2 linked regions of the Lytechinus pictus genome follow. The protein of the gene in region 2 interacts with the protein of the main gene of each other region in a pairwise test. Links are inferred from orthologs where the notes say so. Each region holds a gene or a part of one and is shown on either strand. Other genes may lie near its edges.

Region 1 (3,760 bases), on a different chromosome or scaffold from region 2:
TATCTTCAAAAAGATTTTTTCCCCCTCTTTCAGCTTGCACCAAGTATTACGGTAGTGGTTGTGCAGAGTGTAAACTGAAGGAAAGTTCTCTGAGCTGACCTAGAGTTCAAAACAAGGCTCTACATTATTATTTCTTATTTCATCGCTAAATCTACGTGTATTCACATTTTTCACATTTCATTCAAAAAATCACACACACGCACACCCCACACACATACCTTCACACAACAAACATCAACCACTCTGCACAACCACTACCGTAATACTTGGTGCAAGCTGAAAGAGGGGAAAAAATCTTTTTGAAGATACCATAGAAAAACTCGCTCTTCTTGCACAACTGGGCGTTGCTCAGCTGCTTTTTATGTACCTTATTTTTCCTGTTACCAAGGCAAAAGACTATCGAATTTCACGTCCTCCTATAGGGCTGAATTAATTGCGATTGTTCTCGCACTGGAATGGATAGAATATTTAGATATATATACAGGTGTTGTTATTTTCAGTGATTCATTAAGTGCACTTTTATCTTTACAGAATCGGAAAGACGATCCTATCATTACAGAAATTCTAACTATTAGTACAAGACTCAAATATAAAGGTATAGAGGTATACCTGGAGTGGATCCCTGGTCACTGTGGAATAAAAGGAAATGAAATAGCAGACTCCTGCGCAAAAAAAGCTTTATCAAACAAAATAGAAATTCATAATCAAATAACATTATCAGAAATTATGCAACTTATTTCAAAAAGTTGTAAGATAATTTGGCAAGAAAGATGGAATAAAACTAACTCAGCACTGAAAGAATTGCAACCATCAGTGCTATCCACATATAAATGTAATCTAGGAAGACAGGAAACTGTACTCCATCGTCTCCGTTTTGGAGTCGCTGGTCTTAACCAAGATCTACTAAGATTAGGGATCCATCCAACAGGGTTTTGTGATAGATGTCCTGAGCTAGAAACTGTCAGACATTATCTTTTACATTGTCCAAAATATATAATTGAAAGATCAATGCTCCTTGTAGAATTGAATGAATCACAGCCAGGACAAATAATGGAGTATTTAAAAAAAGATGACCCAGGGATACAGAAAGCATTTTTACGTTTCGTTTCAAGAACGAAACGTTTTAGTAAGGAGTGATGTACTATTTTAATATTGTATTGTCTATAAGAAATATGAATGGATATGCTTGTACAAGTCTAATGTGAAAAGAAGAATATATATATATATATACATAATAATGTATGATATAATATATACAAAATGATATGTTCTGCACATATAACTAACAAAGCCCACAAGTGTTTTCGCCTTGTTGTTGTTGGTGTTGTTTAAAAAAAAAAAAAAAAAAAAAAATGATTTTAATGTTTAACCCATCTGTAAGCACAGGTACACTAGCGCCCCCTCGTCTATGCATGGGTGACCTAGGCATTTATGTCCGAAAAATCGGCACAATGTACCGTGCTGACCGGTATGATTGCATCTTTGAAAGGGCAGGGCAAGCGCAACTAGTTGGAACTGAGCTGAAGATAGCGGTTTGTTTTTGGTGAAGTTTTGTTTATATGCCATTTTGACAAGAGTTACTGCAAACTTTTGTACATATCATAATTATCCTCTTTCATATCAGAAGGATACAAAAAAAATATTTTATATATGTATACATCATATTGGTAATAATATTATTATGTGAGAAGTGAGATTTTTTATTAATAATGTCAATGGCGACAATAGTCAAATATGACTAATCGCCACTCAAACAAACATAAGAAGAAGAAGAAGAAGTTGTGGCGTGCGCCTGTAATCCAAGCTATGCGGGGAAGTTACAATTTGATGCAGAGGTTCGAGCCCTGGTCACGTCTTTCGGATGGTGACGTTAAAGGTCGGTCCCAGACGTAAATAATCATATCTGATTGATACACGTCTGACAAAACTCAAATACACACACACACTTCACTAGGTGGTACGTACTGTACGCGTACCGACTGCTTATGTGCAGCGCTGAGCTTGATCAAGCGACCGAGTGATTCCGAAATAGGTGTAAAACTTTGTAAAAAAGTGTCAAAACGGCAAATATTCAACTTCTACTGGACTTTGGAGGCTCAGATGCAAATTTTTAGGTTGTGAATTATTTATAATTTAGGGTGAGATTGTAGTTTTGTACATGTTTGAAAACCATTAAATGGGGAGGTGCGAAACTACACTAGCGCCCAACCGGAAAAGCGCTGGATGTATTGATCTTGAAGTTGAAATGTGATTGAGAGACCTGGCTGCTATGATATTTTCGAACAATTACTGGTGGGGAAATTATCTCGAAGACGAAGTCGGCCGGTGCGAAACTGCATTGGCGCCTAAACATCAACACGACCATACGCTGAAAAGCATTGATGGGACCGAAATCAAAACTACGCCACAAGAATCCGAAACATCGCATTCCCTACAATTTCCCATTCAAAGCAAACCGTATAACATCATTATTATCATACAAATCTAATAAATCAATCCAAAAGAATCCTCGAAAAAATCTACGGAATTGGCATGATGACGGTGAAATAATTGAATGAAATACTTGCTTACTTGAACAAACTAACGCCATGTTGCAAAGCGTGAGCGCCTAGCCACTATCTAAATGTCATTGCGAGATGGCGGTCTACTCTATATAATAAATATAGAAAAAAAAAGAGAAAACCACAATCAAAAGAAAATGTCATTGCTATTTATCCGAGTGAAGGAGTGAATAAATAACGATTCCTGTCCTTGTTTCATTTTCCCCTATGTTTCCTCCTGCCCCTCCCCTCGGTCCGCTGCCCCTCTAGAAAGGAAAAAAACTTAGAACAAACTAGAAAAAAGAAACTTTTATTTGAAAAATTAATTAATTATTAAAATTAACAATTAAAAAATTAAAATTAAAACAAGACACTTGGGCACATGATCACGGGACTGATGAAAGGGGGCACACTGCAGAATAAGAATTTCACGATGAAAAGAAAAAGAAGTAGCTATATAAAGGAATCATAGACGGGTCCAAGGGCAAAATAGCCCCCCCCCCCCCCCCCCCCCCCATTAGCGGCGGCAATAAAAAAGAGGGAAAAGGGAAAGAAAGATGGAGAAATCAGTTAAGGAGAAGAGGAGACAGAAAAGAAGAGATAATTGGAGGGAAAAAAGTAAAAACAATAAAATCGTTCGGTTCATTATAGAGAGGGAAAAATATCAATAACAACAACATTAGTAGATGAAGAAAACAAAAAGAAATAAATAGAAGCATGCATGAAGAAGTGAAGAATAATAATAATAATATATGGTATTTATATTGCGCACATCATCACCTTGTTAGGTGCTGAAGGCGCTCATTACCCGGCTAAGCTAGGCATTCATAGCGCACACAGCTTTTTAAGGAATAGAGAAAAAATGCTTCATTACACACGTTGGATAAGTTAAATTTCGGTTTCTTACTTGCCCGTTACATGCATGGTGAACCAGTTTGATTTTTTTGTGAGAACAACAGCTTCCTCTTTTTCGTACGATATCATTCACATTTCACAATTAAGAAAGTGTCACGTTTTTAACTTTGGGGATATTGCCAAGCTACATTTGTGTTTTTATTTAATATTGAAATATATACTTGTAAAAAAAACTAAAAAATTGCCAAAAATGACAGATGACATTTGGCTCTATCGAGTTTGTCTGTTTTCTGCATGTTTTTAGGTTCATTTTTTCCTCATTTATTTATTTATTCATTTATTTATTTTTGCCCGGGGTGGGGCTG
Region 2 (3,760 bases):
TGGGTGTATTCAATTGTTATATTAGAGTCACTTTGCAAAAGGAGTTGCAATCAGACGCAACTAAAAAAATCAATTGCAACTTGGATTTTCAATCAATGAAAGGAGCGTATTAGAGACTTGATTTGGATTCGAATTCAAATCTTTCTGCTTTTTTTTACGAAAATAACTAATTTCTTAATTTTTTTTTGGTGAAAACCTTTTTTTTTGGTCAAATTTTCATCGGATGAAAACTCCCCCCCCCCTTTTTTTTTTGCTTGTCAAGTTTTCAATCAACTCAAAAATCCTGCGTACACTACTGTTTGCAGCAATATTCCCCAACCATCTTCAATCAATTTAATCAGTCCTATCTCTCCCTACTTGCTTCTGTATTTAGGGTTGTCCGTAGTTTCTCAAACCAGAAAAATGAATTCAAACAAAAGAAAAAAACAAGTAAAGGATTTTAATTAAATTTCCAACCAAATAAAAAAAACTAATGTTTACAGTTTTCTAATAGATTAGAGTGTTACTCCAGTCTGAAAATAACATGATCTTTGGAGCAAGAAACAAGAAAGCTTCATCAAAATCTATTTTAAAAAAGTTTATAATATCAATATTTTTTTTTATTTGTGCAAAATTTTGATCTAAGTGCTCTTCCAATTTTGATGAAACCATATCAGTGTTTTGTTTCTCTGATATTTACCATCTGTTCTAATGTTATAATTTTCAGCCTGGATTATCCCTTTAAAACTCATAATTTTGTATGCATTTCTTCTGAGCTAACACATTCTCATGAACTTTACACACACACATATAATACCATTCCATTATTTTTAAAATCCTTGCCTCTGTGCATGCCTGATAGGGGTGGGTATAGGCAGACAGAGGAGTAATTAATTGCTACCTCTTCCATCCCAAGTATTTAAAAATAATGATTTTAGCAATTTTTATGCAAATTGTCTAAAAAATATCCTCCCAAATTAAGTGTGCATGGGATCAAGCCCATGCAGATGCCATAATAAATCCTGCAATTATACTTCATAGGCCTAAATCAAAATGTAAAAAAAAAATATTAACTCCCAGCTTGTTTATGTTTCTGAATACTTTTAAATTTTCTTGCCACTATCAAAATTCCAAATTGTGGCCATGTCCCATTATCTTGTTGTATTTCTGTGTTTTAGGGTTTGTCTGCACTCGAGTCACCAAGATTCTGGCTGTGATGTCATTTTTCTTTGTTGTTCTGAAGACACTGTATGTTTAAATTTTTAGTAGAAATTGATCGCTGTATTTATTCGACGGGGTGTTGGAAAACCAATGGAGTACGCTGTTGAAGTAACAGCAGATAGACGTAAGGGTACCGTACCCGGTACGTTTGTTATGTGGATTTACGTGAATGGGTCAGGCCAGGAAGAGGTCAATCATAGATAGGATCGCCGAGTTTGCATGCAGTAATTTTTGATTTTCCACTGGTATGTATTTTGTTTGATTTTATGTGCTTGTACATTATAGTCTACTTTTCTGTTAACCCAGAGAGCTCCCGCCCGCACAGCGGGCGGGAGCCCAGAAGCTTACCGTGTATTTTACCATTGTCACCGGACTAGGGTGATTTATGGTCTAAATATTTCTCCAAATGAATTGTGAAAACAGAAAGTATACAATTACCATGATTATATGGATGAAGGTCTAACGAGTGGCAGATTCCTGACATCTGGGCACAGTCTGGAACCTCAAAAAAACGAAAAGTTCTCTCCTTCTACCCCGTCTCGATCGGCCATTTTTGTTAAAAATCGTAACAAAATGGCCGATCGAGACTGGGTAGAAGGAGAGAACTTTTCGTTTTTTTGAGGTTCCAGACTGTGCCCAGATGTCAGGAATCTGCCACTCGTTAGACCTTCATCCATATAATCGTGGTAATTGTATACTTTCCGTTTTCACAATTCATTTGGAGAAATATTTAGACCATAAATCACCCTAGTCCGGTGACAATGGTAAAATACACGGTAAGCTTCTGGGCTCCCGCCCGCTACGCGGGCGGGAGCTCTCTGACTCTGGGTTACTTTTCTGTTGGATTAGTTATTTAGCTCTGATTTTGTTAGAACTCATGACTGAGTCTTAACTTAAGACTTTTTAGCTTTGTCTTTGTTGCCGTTGGGAGGAGCCTCTCTGGGCCTGGACTGGCGGACTGGCTGCTCGCCTCTGCTACTCCGTCTCTCCGGGAAGCTCCGGGCTGCGTAATCCATGGGTCTCCGATCTCCGTTGCGTCTCAGTCACAGAATGAAAATCGCGGCGCTAGCTCTAGCGCAGCATAAATAATATGAGTGGGGTTGTTTTTGTATGGTCAGTTCCCCCATGTCTGCGCGGTCTCTCAAGTCTGCGCACCCGCGTATCTGCGCGATTCTAGTAAAAGAAGATACGCAACGAGCAAGAACTTTACACATGCAATACATAGACAGGTATTCATAAAAAATCTGACTCAAAATGGTGGAAAAATAATGAATTCAGGGCATTTCATGTGACGGCCTCAAAATGCAGCCTTTGTCATCAAAATCCCCAAATCGTGAAAGTGAATGAGTGCGCAGACATGGGGTACCATTTTTTTTTCAATCTGAAAATGACTGCCCAAAGGTTTTTTCAAGAAAATCTTATATTTTCTTTCATTTTTTAATGAGAAATTTGGTACACTTACTCTTAATAATATAAGGAACACTATTAACCAAAAGATTTTGTGAAATAAGAAGAAATTCATGTTAAATCTTAACTCAAATTGTTAGGTGCGCAGACTTGGGGCCCACCATCATAAATAAGGCGCTAATATTAAATGCAGTTTCAGACTTACACATTCATTGGCCAACAACCTGACGTCTTTGACTATGAAAGTATGATCAATGATGATTGATGGTGCCTTGGGCTTGGTGGCCAAGTCTGCGCACCTACCAATTTAAGTTAAGATATAACAATAACTAGACCAAAAGCTTCAGTCTCTGTATTTTGGTTGTTCCGCTGAACTACGTTGGCTCCACTCACCATACATAGACTGAAGGGGATGGGGCCCCGTACCTACAGCCAACGTATAGTGAACTAGCGTTTTATAGATCGCGATTTAAAACTGTTTTTTAAGCAAAATTGAAAGTTTCATGGTTTCCATTATCAGGGAAATATATATAACTTAAGTAATTGCATACCTTGGGCCGGAGTTATTGAAAAAAATCCTCTGGATGATTGAGAAATCTGTCATCTAAGACATTTTCACCTGACCTGACGGTTTTTCTTGCAAGTTGCCATCTTGAATGACGTCATTGTCGTTATTAACTTAATGTCTCGAATCGATATATCGCGATTATAACTAGTACTCGTACTAGTATAACTAGTATCGTTTATCTTCGGTTTCGTTCGCATATGGAGCAGATCGTATAATATCGAAAGCAATATCGATATCACATTCGTGATTGTTGACGTTCGTTTGTAAATATTTTATAGTTTGGCTGCCATTTTGACCATTTTTATCGTGTTCAACCCAATTAAACATCGGTAAAGTATATTTTTCATGCCTTTTTCATCTATATCGTTTAAAGTATTTAAATGTTGGAATATCATCAATTAAAAGTTTGTTGTTTATACATCCTTAGATTGTAAATTCGATGTGTAAAATTACATCAAACTTTGGACTGTGAATTGACAAAAGGGAGGGAATGAGAACACATGCGAGCCCACACGTACACCCTACCGTCGGTAAATGGGGATTACAGTAAAATGTCAGAAATTGTTGAATAAATCCCCAGAAACG

The links.
Region 1: the proteins of exocyst complex component 7-like (region 2) and pre-mRNA-processing factor 19-like interact in a two-hybrid assay, tested with the Homo sapiens proteins (2 studies listed by BioGRID and IntAct, with this or other methods). The link is inferred for Lytechinus pictus from reciprocal best matches to the Homo sapiens genes EXOC7 and PRPF19.

What each region holds. Positions count from the first base shown.
Region 1 is NC_087246.1:31,303,878-31,307,637, reverse strand, and holds the start of pre-mRNA-processing factor 19-like, read right to left. Parts: upstream 2,666-3,760; 5' UTR 2,591-2,665; coding exon 2,572-2,590; intron 1-2,571. UniProt on the Homo sapiens protein: Ubiquitin-protein ligase which is a core component of several complexes mainly involved pre-mRNA splicing and DNA repair. Required for pre-mRNA splicing as component of the spliceosome.
Region 2 is NC_087254.1:33,365,501-33,369,260, forward strand, and holds the start of exocyst complex component 7-like, read left to right. Parts: upstream 1-1,224; 5' UTR 1,225-1,445; intron 1,446-3,760. UniProt on the Homo sapiens protein: Component of the exocyst complex involved in the docking of exocytic vesicles with fusion sites on the plasma membrane.